5 linked regions of the Cricetulus griseus genome follow. The protein of the gene in region 3 binds, or shares a complex with, the protein of the main gene of each other region. Links are inferred from orthologs where the notes say so. Each region holds a gene or a part of one and is shown on either strand. Other genes may lie near its edges.

Region 1 (3,222 bases), on a different chromosome or scaffold from region 3:
TGAATGACATTAAACTCTTTTTTTTTTTTTTTTTTTTTTTTTTTTGAGACAGGTTTCTCTGTGGCTTTGGAGCCTATCCTGGCACTCGCACTGGAGACCAGGCTGGCCTCCAACCCAGAGATCCGCCTGCCTCTGCCTCCCAAGTGCTGGGATTAAAGGCGTGCGCCACCAACACCCAGCAACACTAAACTCTTAACCCACTTTCTGAGTGCTGACCCACAGGTGTGTACACAACACTAGGCTGCCACTGATGAGTCCCTATTTTCCCAAGCCTTTTTTGATAAGTGAGAATCACCCGGAAAAGATTTTTTCTTATTTGTTTTTTGAGACAGGGTTTCTCTGTATAACAGGCCTGGCTCTCCTGGACCTTGCTTTTTAGACCAGGCTGGCCTCAAACTCACTGAGATCCACCTGCCTCTGCCTCCCAAGTGCTAGGATTAAAGGTGTGCCTCACCACTGCTCAGCCCAGAAAATATTTTTAAAAATAAGTTCTTGGGCTGCGCATGTGGCTCAGTGGTAGAACACGAGTGTTGCACGTGTGAGGCCCTCGGTCCAATGAGCTGCGTTGGTGGCACCTACCTTTCAGCACTTGGGAGGCAGAGGCAGGCGGATCTCTGTGAGTTCAAGGCCAGCCTGGTCTACAGAGCTGGTTCCAGGATAGCTAGGACTGTTAACACAGAGAAAAGTCCTGGCTCAAAAAACAAACAAAGCAACCAAACAAGAATAGATTGAAACCAAGCTCCCTTTGAGACCCACCCTAGCCTGCCTTTGAACTTACTTTTCCACTCATCTATAAGGAGGTCCCTGCTTTCAAAGGACTGGTCGTAAGGGTCAGCCACAGGCTCATCATCAGGGTCATGGTACTGAGCAAAGTAGGCATGTGCAAGGGCTTGGGCTGCTGTGATCCTCTTATCTGAGTCCAAAACCAGCATCTTTTCCAGCAGGTCCACAGCTGTCACACAAGAGGAAAAATACAGAGTGAGTTCCTGGACAGCCAGGGCTACATAGTCTCAAAAAACTCAAACGAAACAAAACACTCCAAATGAACAAAAACAAAACAAAATCTACTCCCCCAAACCAGGCTGTGAACAAACTTTTTTTCCAGTGTCAGGGCCACACGGTGACAACTGAATGAACTGTACTGAATGGAGGCCCCCTATGGCCAAAGCCTGGAGGTCGACAGCTAAGACCATCTACAAGGCAGGTAGCTTGATTGTAGTCTATATTAGCATATTAGTATTACATACTAGCATAATATAAATATTCACCCAGAATGTCAAACAATAGCAAATTGAAGGCTTCCCAGAGGGTCGCAGAAGAAAAGGTACTACATAAAGATATCTGATCCTTAAGACTTTCACTGTGAAAATTTGGAATACAGAAGCAGGAGGGGCACCCATGACCCATGCAGGGGCATCAGTCAGTCCACATCTGACATATTTCCCCCATTATTTCTGTGTCGCTCCTGAGTTGTTTTAAGGTTATTGAGATGACACTTTATACCCTAAATATTTCAGCACACAGACATCATCCTGCGTGACCAGAACATTGTCTTTAACCCCAAACCTGTCTGTGGTAAAACATCTCCATCACAGCTGTCTCCTACATTTGTTCAAACTGGGACTTCCTTATGGGGCTCTCTTTTCTCTAGCCTTTCTGAAACCAGCTGACCTCAGCCTTGCTATGTAGCCCAGGATGGTCTTGAACACATCTTCCTCAACACTGGGATACAGACAGGCTGTATCACCAGCCTTGCTTCTTACTGGCTCTCCTCTGACGACAGACACTGCAGATGTGTTGCAGGCGGGCAGCCATCGTCTATCACAGGCTGCCACTGCTTCTCTGTGCTCTGATGGATGGACCCCTCCCCACCCCGCTTCCTATATTCTTTACATTTATCAAAAGCCAGAATTAGACCTAAGTCTTCGGTAGGAACAATGTCAGGCACACTGGTCAAGAACACGTCCCAGGTGATGTTCTGAACTGGTGGGCACAATAGCCAGTGGAGCTAAAGGTGACTGGCATCTTGAGATCTTTCCCCTCTCTCCCCAAGTGAGTAATCTGGGGGAATATTTTGGTTCCTGGTATCAGTTACTTTCAATAATGGTTTCAGCATTACTGATTTTTCCCTCCCCAGAGCGATGACCTCATTAGAGACGGAGGCACAGAGCTGTCTAATTCTGAGGAGGAGGATGTTCTGCTTGGGTAAAGCCATCCTAAGCAGTTATCAACGAGACAGAAAGGCTCTCAGACCCCAGGGTTCTTTCTTTTTAGTTCTATGAGCACAGCAGTGCATGCCTGCTGGCTGAGAAGGCCAGAAAAGGGCACTGGGTCCCCTGGAAGAGTCCTCTCTCCAGCCCCAGATAATTTCTTCACAGTGGAAGGCTGTGGGTGCTAAAGAGGAGAAAAGCTTCCTGAAGAGGTGATGTCCCTCTGCTTATCAGAGTGATCATGCATCTTGCAGCCTGAACTCCACAGTCACCCACAGAAGCACAAGCTTTGAGGGTACAGAGGAAACAGCAAATAAGCATATGTGGGCTCAGATTCATGAGTCACCTCACGCTTTAAAGAGGGGCTGGGATGTAACTTGTAGAGTGCTTGCCAAGTGTGCACAAGGCTTTTGATTCCACACCCAGCAGTGTACACACTGGGCATGGTGGTGCACACCTGTAATCCCAGCATTCTGGGAGGCACTGGCTGAACTGCCTGAATAGACAGATATTCTTTTCATGTTCATCTACAAATCTGTTGATTTCATACTGAACACAAATGGGTGGGTGCCTGCCACCCTACCTTAAAAAGTTACACTATCTTAGGACCAATGCACTTAGATGAGAACAGGTCAGAAGCAAGGAAAAGACATCTCAAGGATCTCCATAGACGCCAACACTAAGATCAAAGGGCGGTGGAGCTCTCAGGTGTTTTGAGAATAGCAGTGATTCGAAGCCAGTGACTGAAAACAGGGCTGTTAATATTTATATCACTGCTGTGTGGTTCAGCTAGCAAGTTGGGGACGACTAGCTATGGGTCACAGCATGTTCCCTCTGCCACCAGCACTTGGCAATGCGCTGCGTGTTTGGATTGAGCAGGCTGTACTGGGCACCAGATTTTACTCCCCAGCAGTCTGGACTGACTCATGGGAGCTGGTTCTCGTCTGTGCTTAAATAGGGACACATATCAGGATGTGTGTGACTTCCATCAAAGGCAGAAGAAATCCTTTTG
Region 2 (4,039 bases), on a different chromosome or scaffold from region 3:
TAGACAGGCAGCTTCTAAAATTGTTTGATCACCTACAACAGAATTTTTTTTTTTTTTTAGTGTGACAGTTTTCTTCAGTCTTCTCGGTTACCAAGATGTAATTTATTAATCTAAAACCCTCAGCCTTTGTAATAACAGACCAAGAGGGCTTTTAAAAATTATTAGTTTATATCTATCCACCCTTCCACATTCATGTGCTAAACATATATGAACAGTTTTCAAAATTTCTATTTCTCCTTTGGCCTCTCTTCTCATTTCCGTTTCTTGTTTCATCTCTACCTGTTTTTCCTCTCATGACTTCAAAACTCAGCAGGAAGCCAGTTTCCTCTCCCCAGATTGCTATTTCTGTCAATGACACACCATTCTTCCAGTCACCCAGGTCTCAAATCCTGGCATCATCTCTTTCTTCTTTCCCAATCGAATGGGTCACCAATTTCTGTGGCCTCTTTCTGAAACATGTTTCTCAATTCCAATTTCTTTTTTTTTTTTTAAAAAAAAAAAGATTCCATGTTGTACCCTCTCACTCAGGTCCTCGGGGTCCCATCTGTAAGCAGGAAGTGACAGTATCTACCATTTATCCTGTTTCCATCCCTAGGCAATTCTCCAAATCACCTCTAAGATGAATGGAGAGGAAAGAACGTGGCTTAAAATCTTAAGGCTTCTATGCCACGTGCTCCAATAGAAAGCAATGCACTAAAACACAAACACCCATTTTACTCCATTTCAACTTTCCACAATTCTCCAGGTGTGTGAGTGACTAGATTCTAATTCAGAAAATGTCTCCCCTACCTCTTCTCTCCTCCCCCCATCCCCGACCCAGTTCCATCTTCCCCAGTCCATATATATATATATATATATATATATATATATATATATATATATATATATTCCTAAAGCCCGGTGCCACTTTTTATTTTTTTTTTCCACACTTTCAATGGACTCTGTCACCTCAATGTGAAATCGCAGGCACTTTATCTTAAAGTCACCAACCAGAGCAGCAGGTCGTGACTCCTCCTCAAAATTTCCAAAGTACCTGTTTCAACAGATGGTCCCAACTGAGGCACCCGCAACCCTGACTCCATAGAAATCGACTTCCCTTCCGTCCCCTTCCCAGCCAGAGCATCATGCAGCGCCTGGGGTCTGTGTGACCCCGAGCCCGGGCCTTCCCGCTGGGTGTCTGGCCGGGCGTGCCGGGAGGCAGGGCGGCCGGCGGTTCCGCGCCCGGAGGTAGGTGGTGCTGTTGCCGCGACGTCTTCCTCATTGGCGCCGCGCGGAGAGGCGGAATGTTCAACTCCTGACTCCGGCGGAAGCGTGGGAGCAGCGCGGGCCGCCGTCCCCGACCCCCGCCGCCGCTCGCACCCGGCCCGGGAGCCAGGTAGGGGGCTGCGGGGGACTGGAAGGAGGGAGGGAGCACCATCCTGGAGGATCGGCGGGGCCCGGGCCTGCGGGGATCGGGGCAGCGCGGGTGCGGGAGGCCGGGGCTCGGCGGGCGGCTGTCCTCGGCCCGCGCCCGGTGCCCTGGAGCCCCGCGGTCCTCTGCCGCTGGGCCGAGTACGGCTTGGGGCAAGTCCGGGACAGTCCCGTGGGACATTCAGTGCCCGGAAGAGCCCGGCCTGGCACAGCCCGCGGCGATCTCGGGGAGCCCGCGGCGGCTGCCCTTCCCGAGCACCTTTGCCTTCGGTGGGAGCACACGCGGGTGTCGTGGGCGCGGGGACCCTCACCCGGCTCCGCGGTGAGTTCGCCCCCGGCCTCAGGCACGCCTCGCCCCGTGCGTGACAGCTTTCAGAAAAACTTTGATTCTGAACTGCCCAGATGACATGGAACTGTCTGAAAAACAATGGCACGTCATTGTTGGGTTGCTCAAAATGTATGTTTCTCATGCGCCTGGAGATCCTGCATAAGCACTGTTTATGGAGAGTATAATTACTATTTTTGTTAGTTTCGTTAATAATGAAAGCACACCATTTGGTGGCCCGTTCCAGCGATTTCACAATAAGCAGCCTTCATTAATAATGCGTATGAGAACCGTCTTCCAGAATGGATTGAGGCTATCTGAGTTCACACTGTTGTTGAAAGTGTCTTCCTGTTTTACCCCTGAAGTGCTTGTAGCAAATCTTCTGGCTTTCTTGACGGTAGATGAAACCAACTGCCAGGATTTAGTGGATCCAAACCTACCAAAATGTTTAACGATAAAAATAAACAAATGATTCAAGAGCAGACTTCTTTGTTGTAGGCCTGTCTCTACAGTAAAATTTCATTCCTTTCTTGATTTAAAAAAAAAAAAAGTGACTGCTGCATTTTAATTATGGTTTTGGTCGTTTGTAGAGTCTTTGTTTTAGATTCCTGTTACAATTGTGAGAGATTTGGGAGACTGTAAATGAACATGAATTTAGCTTGTTTGGAAAGAGAATTAGATAGAGGAAAAATAGCCCTTTGGAGTACTATGTACTGTTTATTTTAATCTTTTACAATGTAATTTCTACAAGTACTTTTGGGGATTATTTTGGAGGTTTTTTTTTTTAACTGAAGAATGTGCAAGTCAAAGTTTAAGTGGGAAACATTTTGTTGTCTAGGAAAGCAAGTAGATGATTGATCCTTTAGAAGGATTTTTTTTATTTTTGGTTGAGGGGGGTACATAAGAACACATTAAGGGAAGTAATAACCAAATATTAAGCACACAGATTGAGATCTAAAAATGGATGGTCAAAGATCTTGGGAACTGAGGGACCTTCTTGCCAAATAAGGAAACTTGGCAAGCTGCACTGTGTATTTTAAGTTAGTGCAGAGTGAGTGCTATTGGCAATACATTGGCTTGGTGCCTATCTGGGCTAAGCGGTGAAACTGAGTCTGATAGGACCGAAGAATTACAAACAGGACTTACAAAGGGTGTTGAGTGAGGAAGTGAATCATCAGGGGAGACACTGGAGAAATTACAGGGACGTTTTGTGAAAGAGGTCAGATGAAGCTCCCAGAGTGCCCAGCAAAATGGACAGTGGAGTTTAGAACTTGACACAATCAGAGAAAAGTCAGTGAGCTCTTCTGCTGAGCTGGGAAAGGTGTTTGTGGTGATGTACTTTGTTGGAATAAGATAGCCTCTGTGCCCTCAGATGTTGGAAATAAAAGTTGGGATCATTTGTTTTCCATGTTATTATGCACGGGACAGACTGACAAGGGGCGGGGACCGGTCTATCTAAATATAATAGCAGCAGCTGAGACACTTACTGTGGGGAAGATTTAGGCTACTTCCTTTGTGGCTATTAACTTTGGCCCACTACACATAAATAAGCATAGTTCCAGCTGTATCCAAAGAGAGCCATCCGAGCCAGAGCCTGATGGTTTGATTGATCTACTTTTGTGTCCAATCCTCCTAGAGACAGCTGAAGCATTGAGTATAAGAGGAGTTAAGTAATCCCAATGCACTAAAACACCGTGAGAACCAGGAGTCATACATGTAATACTTAACCCATTGACACCATTGCTAATAGAAAACTTAAGCCTCAAAAAAAAAAGAAAGAAAGAAAAGAAAAGAAAATTTAAGCCTCAAATACGAGGATAGTAAGCAATCCAGTCATTACAGTAACAAGAAATGGGTCTGTTTAAAGAGAAAAAGGAAAATTAGGAGGCAGTAAACGATGGAGTAGAAAAAGGGCACACGGTGGAAGAAAAGGAGGTGACCCAAGTTGAATCCCAGTTGTGTCATTTGTAGATCAGGCTTGGCCAATGTTTACACCCTTGGGAGATGGAGATACCTGCATCCTGGGGAGAGGTCTATGAGACAGCATTTGGAAATGCTTGGGCTCGTCCCGGAAGCTCCAGCTACCGTGACTGGGTGCAGAGAGGGCTTTCCCACATTTCTCAAGCCATGTGCTTGCCTCAGCTTTCCCAGGCAAGGCTTGCCTACAGTATTTTGCCCTGTCCTTGTCATACTTAAATGCCTATGCTGAGAGTAGATGGAGTTTACCTAGCCACTCCTTCTTGTGTACAAGGGTTTCCAAAGCAATGCTGTAATACTGTGTTTTGGGGAAGAAACTGAAGATTA
Region 3 (4,217 bases):
CATTGATGATATAGCAACTCATCAAAGAGAAACAGGAAATTGTCATGTAGGTTGCTATTTCAAAAGGACAAGTACTTAGCTTCTCTGTAAGCCCAGCTTTCTGGGTACATTGTTAATAAATTTTGAAGCCCCTGTTAAGATTTGTATTATTGAATGTAGCAGCAGTTATGTTACCAGTAAATGGTGATTTTCAGAGGATCACTCTGTTACTAGAGCTAGTAATACTTCATACTATGTTTCACAGTACTTTCTATGTCATTTTGAATTTTCACAGGTTCTTTGTGTGGACATGGATAATTAAGGCCACATCTGCTTTGTAGTGGAAGCAGTATAGGTCATGATGCAAATAGAACTGATAAGATCCCACAGGTTTTTTGAATTTGCCCGAGGACTGCCTATCGAAACTACAGCAGTCTTTTGACTTCAACAATTGGCAGTTTAAAGATCCCTAGCTATGGGTGGTGCTATGCTGGGTTGGTGGAATGCTCCGTAATAAATGAGTTCCAAATATATTGTTACTTGCTTTGAAATACCACCCCCCCCCCCACAACACACAACCACCACCACTGAACCGTTTAGCTTTCAGGATTTGTTTCTGGCATTTGTTTGTATGGTACCCTGCCTTACCCTTTGCCCTGCTGTGGAACCCATCATGCCTCTCTTGTGTCTCCACTGTGCTTCACAGACCACTTAACACTTCTAACACTTTAGATGCATTTTTGTGGATGTGTTTTCCCCATTTACTCGGTTGCACATTCCTTAAGAGTTGAGGGCAGCACTTGAAATTTGTTTCTATTGCCTTCTTCAGTTTTACTTGTGCTTCTATATCTCAGTGCCTTTCGAATAGGCATGGTAGTTTTGGTTAAATGTTCTCAAGTAGAATTCCAAGTCATCCTCAGGAAAGAGCTTTGCCCCATGTGTGAATAAATAATTGATCATCTGAAGAAAAGGTTAGGATTTATGTCCTCAAAAGGAAGATCAGTTAAGATATGAAACTGCACAGGAGAACTTTGTGATCTGGAGCAAGTGACAGAGTGTTATTTTGTTTTGATCTCTTTGGTGGGGTCCTTAGTGAGAACTCGGGACTGACAGTGCTTAACTGGCGCTTTAGCTAAACTTCTGTCCTGTATCTCTGTTATTTACTTGGAACTTTCTGTGTGTGCTTTCTTAGTAATCTTGTTCTACTTCTCTGACAAAGCAATGAATTAGGAGTTTTCTTATTTTATGGAAGGAGAAATTGGGCTAAGATTTATATTTTAAAGTTACCAGTCTTTGATTGAAGATTCAAGTTTTTCATTGCTTCTTTGAGACTTGCTTTGTCACTTGAGATGAGACTATTAATATTCTGTTTTTTAATTAAAGTTTTTATCAATGTGTTTGTTTGACTATATGTCAATTGAATACAGGTATCTGAAAAAGCCAGAAGAGGGCATCAGCTTCCTTAGACCTTGAGTTACAGGCAGATGTGAGCCACCCAAGTGTCCAGCATGGATGCTAGGAGCTACACTCAAGTCCTCTGTAAGAACAGTGAGTGGTCTTAACCTCTGTTAAGCCAGCTCTTTAGTTTCCTTGTCCTTGCTCTTAAAAATTATTTATTTATGTATTCATTCATTCATTCATTCATTCATCTGTTTAATTTGTGTATATAGGGACGTAAGTGCCACAGCATGTCCATGGAGGTCAGAGGCAACTTGTAGGGTCAGTTCTCTCCCTTAATATGTGGGCTGGTGGGATCCAGCTCAGGTCTGCAGGCTTGGGAGAAAACACCCTTACTTGCTGACCCATCTCCCTGGCTCTGTTTCTCCTTTTTAAACCAAGAAAAAGCTGTTGGCTCTTGTATATCCTTGGAGCCCTCCACAAAACTCTGTTTGGATTAACTGCTGACCCCATGTGATATACAGAGCATCTGGCAGCTGGGGTGGAATTCTCAGCTGTCTCTTTTTGTTTTGTCCACAGAAGGAAATGTGAGTTTTATCTTACGGTACATTCCTTTTTTGGTTCATGGGATCCTCCAATCTGGTTGTGGGCTCATTTCCTACCTTTGTTTTGTTGTTATCTTGCATTTGTTTGGAGATCAGGAATGAACTTAACCTACTCTTAATGAAGGTAGAATTATGAGGTACCTCTGGCATTCCAAAATTCTACTTTGAGGTTTTGCTGACATTGTCTAGTTCATTCTTGTTGTATGAAGTGAATCCAGGCAGCAGATCCTAAGACGTTAGCTCTGCAGTTACTTATCTTTTCTGCATGAAGCCTGCTTTCCAGTTCTCAGTGACATTTATTATTCTTCCCACATGTAAGGGTATGATTTATACATTGTCTGCATATTACTCAGAATTAAAAATGTTTTTACTTCTTGGTTAGAAGAGAAAGGATGTTTGAAGACATGATACACTGAGGCTCCACCATAGTTTTTCTGCTTAGTATAGAGTTGGGAATGCTGATTTTTTTTTTCCAGTTGTAATGTATTTGTGTATTTGCATGTGAGCATGCAGGAGGGAGTGGCCGAGAAGAATATTGTATTGCAGTAGTAATCATATGCACCTCTGATTATTTAGCATCTGCAAGTACTTACATGGTGTGCTGTGCTTCTTTATTTTTTTGTGTAATCCTAATAACTTCATGAGATGACTGCTCTCCTTAAAGAAGAGACAGTGTCAGAACACCTGTGTCACTTGGTGGACCGTGAAGCTAGCAAGGAGTAGAGTTAGAACTCAAATCTGGTCTCCCATCACCCCCAGGAAGTTAGCAATTCATTGCTGTTCTTACATTGTTAACCACCTGACCAGATTTTTGGAAACTTCTGTGCTTTCTAGTGTGTGGGAGGGGGTAGCTTAGAAGCTTGCTGAACTAGCTTCATTGATGACTTTGGAGGTGAAGCAAGACAATCAAAGACAATAAATAACCTAGGATGCTATTAGGTAGCTGAGAGCTGGGTGAGTACAGCAGCCAAGCCAGTCAACTCTTTTCAGTCAGCGTCAGAGTGAGTGACAAGAGTGCTTAAGTATCCTGGTCCCAGGGCGGGGAAGACAGAGAGGGGTCAAGAGTTAAGAAAGGCTGGTAGCTTTCAGCTCTTTCCTTGAAATTCCAAATGAAAATAATTTAAAAAACAAACAACCCAATGATGTTTCCTGCATTTTAAGCAAATATCTGATCCTGTTTCAGAAGGAAGAATGTCTGAATGTTGACTTAATTATTTGAGCAGTTCCATATGGTTATGAAAAAGTCCTGAGAGATGGAGAAGTTGCTTAAAAAAAAAAAAAAAAAAAAAAAAAAAAAGCCCACCAGAAAATCTGAGTCCAGCACCCTCCAAATAGTTTAGCAGTACTCATTTAACAGCAACAGACCGAGAAGTGAGCCGCATACAGCAACAGAAAGAACTTGGAAGAACTTTAAGAATTCCATTCTCTTAAGAGACACCTCTTACTATATGACTTACATACATTAAATGTTTTCCAAGCATTTGTATTTTGTTTCCATTTCATCTTAAATCTCAAAATTCTTATGTTTGGGGGAAGAAATAGCTCTTTCACAGAGAAAGAAACAGATTTATTGGGCGCCATCTGCTGGTTTTGTCTCAGTAGAACAAAGATGTGAAGCCTACAAATCTATGCATTTGCTTCTGTCTTGGAAGACAGTAGTATTGTTTAAACTGACTTCTGTTAACATTGAAGAGTGGGATACCTTTAACTGAAATATTCATGAACATGTTAAAAGAAGATTGATGAGTGGATTTAATTGGGCATTGTCATTATCTGTCAAAAGAGATACGTCAAAGAAAATTGTATGATTTTCTACCAGTGAAATCAACCCTAGTTGGTATGAAAATCAGCAAATTCCTCCGTTGATTCCTGTTTATGTTGTTAAGGAAAGTTAAGGGCTTTGCTTGCTTTTGGACTATGTCTGAGTATTTTTCTTTTAATAGAGTGGGTACTATAGATGAGTGATCCTGTTGTAGTTTCTTATCAGGGGTGTTTTTGAGCCTTGCTTCTTTTTAACTGTCATTTTATGGACTTGAGCTGAAGTCTTTCATTCTCAGAGCATTACATTTTAGATCTTTTGATTTCTCATACAGTTATCTCACATAAGATGCACTGTGGAGGAAGATTGTTTGCAGAATGGAGTTAAGAATTCATTTATCCAGCATACATTATTGAGCACTTACAACAACTCAACACACTTATAGGCACAGATACAGCATTGAATAAAACAAGTAT
Region 4 (3,516 bases), about 39 Mb from region 3:
GAGGAAGAAGAAACAAACAAACCAGCAGGTGCACTTGGCCTGAGGGTACCATTTGGCAACAACCATCCTAGCCCAAACTTTGAATGGGACAAAAAAAGTCAGAGATGGGCAGGAATGGGCTCCACTCACAGTGAGATTAATTCCTGCCTCCTTGCCTTCCACAGCAGAGCACTAAGGGGTGAAGGTCGACCCTGGGAGACTGAGGATGGGCAGGCAATGCCCAGGGGAAGGCCTCACCTTGGGCCTCATCCAGAGCTGCCTGGCTCTCCAACTGGCCAGCCTGTAGTGCACGGCGAATCTGCATGCGGATGATGTCAATCTTGGTCTTGCTATCCTGCAGCATCTGTTGGGCCGTCAACAGCAGCTTCCTGTCCTGGAGCCAGACGTGCAAGGTGACAGGAAAACTGGGAACTCAAGTCTGACCCCCAAACCCTGCTGCTATGCCATGAAGGCCTTGGGTAAGACAGAGCATTGATGTGTGCAAACAAGAACACCTGTGCCCAGTGTTCTAGCACAAGTGCAGTAAGACAAGTCCATAGGCTTCAATTCTAGCTCTGCCACCAACAGCTGAGCTTTGCAATCCCAACCATGTTCTCCCAGTCCTCTGGACCTCACCTCCCCCATCTGCAAAGCCTGGACCTCCACTGGACTGAGGACACCACAGCCCAGTTTGGACCAGCTGGAGCTACATCTTCCTCAGCTCTCAGATCATCTGTGTGCAGGTGTCTGCAGGGCCACAGACAAATGGTGGTATACTGGAGTAATAGAAGTTGCCTAGAGCAGGCCAGTCCAGGGACAGGAAGCAGACTAGTAGCTACTAATTGGGACACAGCCTCCTGTCACAGGGATGGAATGTTTCAGAACACGGTCCCACCTTGGTGCTGCCATTACTGTAGGTCTGGATCATGTTTTCTGCCCCCTGTTTGACCTTCAGCTCAATGGCCAGCTGTTTCTCCAGGCCAGCCACCCGACTCAAGTTGGTGGATGAGCAGACAGTGCTGCCCTCTCCAAGGGATTGGGAAGCATCTGAAGAAACACAGAGTGAAGAAAAGCACACAGTTGTCACTTCAGTATACCCAGGAGACTTTCCCCCAGCTGATAGGAAGCTCTCAGCCCAGCCTTGGTACATCCCAGAAAAGGAGCCTGGGGGTCAGTACACAGGCAGGAAACACATGGCCCTCAAAGCTAGAGTGGGCCCCCAGCTTGAAGGAAGGTGGGTTAGTGACCAGGTATGCAGGTCTTCAGGGCTAGCTGGAATAAATGCCCCCATCTACCTAAGGTGTGTAAGCCCCCTGGGGGTGGCAGGAGTGTAGTGCCCTAGATGTGGATGTAAAAGTAGTTAGGAGGTCTGTGTGAGCTTACAGTCATAGTTATGATCTCTAGAGGCTTCTGGGATTCTGTTTCAAGGCTCAGCTGTTGTCTGCACCTCAAGAGTGATACAGTGGGGTTGGGAGAACTCACTACAGAAGAGGCTTATAAGACTCTTGGCTGAACTCCACCAAGTGTTGATGGGATAGTATTGGACCTCAACAGTGGACACAGCCATATGTAGAGGGGCTGGAGCTGAGCCTGTTGGCTATATGGGAAGTCTGCTGTGGATGGGACAATGGTGGGGCACCTCTGGAGATGGCATGATAACCAGGTGGAAGAGCTCTGGGGTCATTGTGGGTTAGTGTGTCTCTCTAGGTGTAGGTGACAGGTTGCAAACCTTGGATGCTGTCATGACTATGCTACAGACTCTGAAATTAGAGTCATGTTTGCTGTGTTGCCTGGGTGGCATCACTGGCTGTGCACTTCTGAATTCTCTCGGTATCCTCTAGTGTTCCTGTGACCATAAACATCTTGACTACAAGATGAGGGAACTGTGGCCTTGTTTTGTCGCTGCATGAACACACATAACACTACTGAACTCTGGCAATGATAAATTATGATGTGGGTTTCCTTTTGTGTATTTACATATGTAAATACATGGAAGCCAGAGAGACAGCAGGTAAGTTCCTCAATTTTTCTCCACCTTTCTTCCTCCCTCCCTTTTTTGAGATATGGTCCCTCACTGAGCCTGGAGCTCTCTGATTTGACTGGTACGGCTGAGCAGTGCAGCCAGAGATCCTCCCGTCTCTACCTCCCCCAGGTGTGGAATACCACCACACCTGGCTTCTACTCGAGTCCTTGACTTCAAACGCAAGTCTTTATGTTTACACAGTAAATATTTTATTGCCTAAGTCAGCTCCTCAGCATGTAGGACTTTACTTTATCCACAATAAAAAAAAAATTAGTATTTACTATGGTTTTTTCAAGACAGGGTTTCTCTGTATAGCCCTGGCTGTCCTAGAACTCACTCTGTAAGTGAGTTCAAACTCACAGGATCTGCCGGTCTCTGCCTCACAAGCGCTGGAATCAAAAGCATGCATCACTGCTGCCAAGCCAAAAATTAATTTTTTTAAAAAAAATATAAAACTTTTAGCGGGGTGTTGGTGGTACATGCCTTTAATCCCAGCAATCAGGAAGCAGAGGCAGGCGGATCTCTGAGTTTGAGGCCAGCCTGGTCTACAGAGCAAGTTCCAGGACAACCTCCAAAGCAATACAGAGAAACCCTGTCTCGACACACACACACACACACACACACACACACATCGCCTCACAGCTAGGTGATGGCACACACCTTTAATCCCAATACTTGAGAGGCAGAGGCAGGCAGTTCTCTGTGAGCTCAAGGCCAGCCTGGTCTACAGAGCGAGTTCCAGGACAACTAGGGATATACAGAGAAACCCCGTCTTGAGAAAAAAAAAAAAAATCTTTACTGGGTTTAGTGGTACAGGCTATATCAGGTGACTCATAATAACCAATAACCTATAACTCCAGTTTCAGGGGCTCTAGGGCCATCCTCTTCTCAGGCACCTGGCGTGACATACATAAAGACATCCAGGCATACACAATACACATAAATAAACATAAAAATGTTTTGTTTTGATTTTATCTTTTAGAGACACAGTTTCTCTGTGTAGCCCTGGCTGTCTTGGAACTCACTCTGTAGATCAGGCTGGCCTCTAACTCAGAGATCTACCTACCTACCTCTGTCTCCCAAATGCTGGGATTAAATGTGTGCACCACCACTGCCTGGCTATTTTTATTTATTCATATATGAGTATTTTTATCTAGAGTAGTTTCTCTTTTTTCTTTTTCTCACCTGGGTTGTAAGTGCTTTGTTTTTGTTTTTGAGGCAAAGTTTTACTAGGTAGCTCTGACTGGCCTTGACTCACAGAGATCCACCTGCCTCTGTCATATATACATATATTTTTGTATATATACATAAAGCAAAGAACAACTGAAAAATAGTCTATAACTGCTATTGTATTGGTATGATGTGGAGAGCTAAGAGAGTGACAAGTGTGCCATATTGGGCATTGATATGACTATGAGTTTCTGGGTTTTCATGTGACAGCATGTTACCCAGCTATTGTCTAGAAATAACTATAGCTGTGTCCTTAAGTAACTGGTGACAGTGTGTGGGTCTTT
Region 5 (3,516 bases), on a different chromosome or scaffold from region 3:
TCTACTGTTTCTAGAGGAGTGCAGCAACTCTGATTTGAATGTTGCTCCAGCGGGGAGGGGTGGGGGCAGTAGAATCAAGGATGCCCTTTAATCCTGTTTGCACCTGGAAGCGCTTAAACCATCCCATGCCTCCAGCTCCTCTCGTTCCTAGTCCCCAGAGGTAGCTCCACTAAGGGAGTGAGAGAAACCTGGGGGCCAGGTAGATCTTGGCGATGGCCCTTGGGCAGCAGCACTGTTTGGGATTTATGGAGTGAGAAGAAGGGCAGGAAGCCATCAAGTCTGTCCTAGGACAGTCAAATGGGCACATCTGGGGTGTGGGCAGGAGCTGGGTGACTGGCTGGGACGTGTTTAGAGGAGATGGGGTTTGCTACCTTATTCTCAGTGGTGTTACCTGGAATAACAGCAGTTCTGCCTCTCCCACCCCATTCAGATCGTGCGGGCCCTGGAGCATCTGCACAGCAAGCTGTCTGTGATCCATAGAGGTCAGTGTCCTTCACCAGCCCCTGAGGCCTGGTGGGCGGGGGACAGCCTATGGGACACCTTGTGGGGCTTGACTCACTTTTTCTGCATTTGGCTCTGCAGTGCTCAGAACAGGAGGAATTAACTGGATTCCCACTTTTCCTGGGCTCCACTGCCTACTTTCTCATTCTTATGTGCAGTCCATGTGCTGTAAAATATCTAGGTTGTGGCATGTCACTCCGGGGATCTGATCCAAGCTCCCTCTTACCCGCCACGCAACCATCCTGAGCTTTTCTGGCCTCCTTTTGCCCTTGTGGCCACTAGTCTGATTTTTCCCCTCCAGGTTTATAGTTATTAAGAATCAGACTCCTGTCGGGTAGTGGTGGCATAGCCTTTATTCCCAGCATTTGGGAGACAGAGGCAGGCAGATCTCTGTGAGTTCGAGGCCAGCATGGTCTACAGAGCTAGTTCCAGGAAAGCCAAGGCTGTTCCACAAAGAACTCCTGTCTCAAAAACCAAAACCAACCAACCAAACAAACAAAAAAATGAGCCTCCCACTGACTTGGTTGCACTGCACTTAGTGTCACTACTCGTCCCAGTTCTGTCCTCAAGTCATCATTGTTGGCCCTTTGGCACGGAACCTTCCTGTCCTTTTCTGTACACCTTTGTCTTTACACATCCACGTGGATCTTTGCTTGGAGCTTCCTGTGTCCTGTGAGGCAGGGGATGGGGCTCCTTATTTGCACACACAGACCCATCCTCACACCTTCACCTGCACTGTTGTTCACCCACTCACTACCTTCTGCTTGCCAGCTTTGTGTCTGTAGCAGGTAGTATGCATGAATAGTCTCTAGGTAGTGTCTACAGGGCTCTGATGTTTCTCTTTGGTAGGGATAAGCTGAGGTGCATTCTGACTCATTGTCTGGCTATGTGATGGGGCCTGGTACTGCACATCTCATTGCCTCTGCTTCCTTGCCCTATCCTTGGGGCATTGGGTAGCCTGCTGCTGGACCACAGGCCACTGGAGGGGCAGCATCTCACTTGGTATAGGCTGAGAAGGGTATGCTCTACTTGTAGATGTGAAGCCGTCCAATGTCCTCATCAACAAGGAGGGGCATGTGAAGATGTGCGACTTTGGCATCAGTGGCTACCTGGTGGACTCTGTGGCAAAGACAATGGATGCTGGTTGCAAGCCTTACATGGCTGTAAGTGGGGGCATCCTGGCTAGGTGGAGGACAAGACAAGATTCTGAATCTATGTAGTGGGCTGTGTTTTTTTTTTCTTCAGTTGTACCCTCCTCCATAGGGACCTTGCCACCATTTACCTGCACTCCATGATACCTGTTTGGATGAACTTGTAGTCTGTAGAACCTGTGAACCCTGTTTTCCTTAGGACTGGGGGGCCTGGTGGGAAGGCAGGGATTGGCTCTGGCTCTTGTTGGCTTATAGCTTACAGGCAGGGGAACCTAATGGCACTCCGTTTTGGAATAGACAAGAAAAGGTCTAATGGAAGGAGCCTTGGCTGGTTGGGTCTTCAAGCCCTCTAGTCTCTCTTGCAGCCTGAGAGGATCAACCCTGAGCTGAATCAGAAGGGCTACAATGTCAAGTCTGACGTCTGGAGCCTCGGCATCACCATGGTACTGTCTGGGTTGGAAGTGCAGCACTTGCTGGTCCAGTGGGGTGGAGTGTGTCTGTGTTGGGGTCTATGGGCGCCAAGTAGTTTAAATCCAAGAAAAAGAGTTGGTTTCAGTGTTCAAGAAAAAAAAAAAAAAAAGCATCGTCAAACATTCCTTTTTGGGTGAGAGGACATTTGGGAGTTACAAGACCTCTTTCCTGATGGTTCCATTTAACCATCATGAATGTTCTCTGTATTCTGTGATGTCAGCCTTTCCCCTATAGCCATTGGTGTAGAGCAAGAAATCCCAGCTGATGCTAAGTATAGTTCTTGCCATGCAAGTGATTTCCAAATCAAGAAGTTAAACTGTTAGCTGGGCACAATGGCACCCTCCTGTGCTATGGTAGCACCCTTTTGTAATGTGATACTTTGGAAGGCAGAGGCAAAAGGATCAGGGAGTTCAAGGTTATCCTCAACTTCATAGTGAATTTGAGGGACACTGTCTCAATACCCTTCCCAACACTCAAAAAAAAAAAAAAAAAAAAAAGATTGAGGGTTTTTTTTTTTTTTTCTTCCACACCAGGAACCTGTTGCTGTAGGCTCCTGTTGTATTTGTCTATGCTTAGGCTCTGTAGGGTGAGGCTCTGGATCCTGGCCCTGTGAAGGCTGAAAGGATCCTTGGCTTGGAGGGAGGGCCAGGGGCCAGGCTATGAGGATTGAGTTGTACAGATAAATCTAAGTCCAGGGTGTAGGGACGGACCTCTGCCTTCTTGAACTGCCTCACAGAAAGTTTTAATTCACCTATTGATGTGATAAAACACAATAACCAAAAGCACCCTGGGGAGGAAAGGGTTTATTTTGACTTACCCCTCTCAGATCACACCCCTTCACTGAGGGAAGTCAGGAGCATAGCACAGTAGAAGCCATGGAGGATGCTTATCGGCTTGCTACTCCTGGCTTGCTGGCTCTGTTTTGTTACATCACCTAGGACCACCAGCCCAGAGGCTGAGCTGAATACCTGCAGTGAGCTGGGGCCTCCCATATCAATCATCAATCAAGAAAATGCTCAAGCTTGCTTACAGGCTTTTCTTAATTGAGGTTCCCTCTTCCCAAATGATTCTAGCTTGTGTGGAGTTGACATAAAACTAGCCAGCACAATGTTACAATGAAGTTGAATTCTTTGAAGATGGGCACTTTTCTACTGCACCTGTGTATGAAAGTGCCCTGGTACCTTAATTCTTGATATAGCAAGAACAATGTATCTTTAGTTGCAATGACCTTTAACAAAAAGAGACATTCTGACCACCAGGGGTCAGTTACCAAAACATGCTGCCCATTTTCTTGGTTACCGCATGTCTAGTTGTTTTGAGACTCTTCCCATGGTTGATTGCAGGACTTTCAGGTAGGACATTTTTGTTGTTGTTGTTTGTTTGTTTTTGAGAC

Evidence for each region.
Region 1: Akap13 (region 3) and Mapk14 share a complex: the UniProt entries of both Homo sapiens proteins name them as parts of the signaling complex. The link is inferred for Cricetulus griseus from reciprocal best matches to the Homo sapiens genes AKAP13 and MAPK14.
Region 2: Akap13 (region 3) and Map3k20 share a complex: the UniProt entries of both Homo sapiens proteins name them as parts of the signaling complex. The link is inferred for Cricetulus griseus from reciprocal best matches to the Homo sapiens genes AKAP13 and MAP3K20.
Region 4: Akap13 (region 3) and Pkn1 share a complex: the UniProt entries of both Homo sapiens proteins name them as parts of the signaling complex. The link is inferred for Cricetulus griseus from reciprocal best matches to the Homo sapiens genes AKAP13 and PKN1.
Region 5: Akap13 (region 3) and Map2k3 share a complex: the UniProt entries of both Homo sapiens proteins name them as parts of the signaling complex. The link is inferred for Cricetulus griseus from reciprocal best matches to the Homo sapiens genes AKAP13 and MAP2K3.

The regions. Positions count from the first base shown.
Region 1 is NW_023276806.1:233,854,978-233,858,199, reverse strand, and holds part of Mapk14 (mitogen-activated protein kinase 14), read right to left. Parts: intron 953-3,222; coding exon 779-952; intron 1-778. UniProt on the Homo sapiens protein: Serine/threonine kinase which acts as an essential component of the MAP kinase signal transduction pathway.
Region 2 is NC_048599.1:102,878,391-102,882,429, reverse strand, and holds the start of Map3k20 (mitogen-activated protein kinase kinase kinase 20), read left to right. Parts: upstream 1-1,229; 5' UTR 1,230-1,375; intron 1,376-4,039. UniProt on the Homo sapiens protein: Stress-activated component of a protein kinase signal transduction cascade that promotes programmed cell death in response to various stress, such as ribosomal stress, osmotic shock and ionizing radiation.
Region 3 is NC_048596.1:121,808,154-121,812,370, reverse strand, and holds the start of Akap13 (A-kinase anchor protein 13), read left to right. Parts: upstream 1-1,406; 5' UTR 1,407-1,491; coding exon 1,492-1,527; intron 1,528-4,217. UniProt on the Homo sapiens protein: Scaffold protein that plays an important role in assembling signaling complexes downstream of several types of G protein-coupled receptors.
Region 4 is NC_048596.1:160,724,494-160,728,009, reverse strand, and holds part of Pkn1 (serine/threonine-protein kinase N1), read right to left. Parts: intron 1,027-3,516; coding exon 875-1,026; intron 374-874; coding exon 238-373; intron 1-237. UniProt on the Homo sapiens protein: PKC-related serine/threonine-protein kinase involved in various processes such as regulation of the intermediate filaments of the actin cytoskeleton, cell migration, tumor cell invasion and transcription regulation.
Region 5 is NC_048600.1:74,934,544-74,938,059, forward strand, and holds part of Map2k3 (dual specificity mitogen-activated protein kinase kinase 3), read left to right. Parts: intron 1-430; coding exon 431-482; intron 483-1,536; coding exon 1,537-1,664; intron 1,665-2,017; coding exon 2,018-2,095; intron 2,096-3,516. UniProt on the Homo sapiens protein: Dual specificity kinase. Is activated by cytokines and environmental stress in vivo. Catalyzes the concomitant phosphorylation of a threonine and a tyrosine residue in the MAP kinase p38.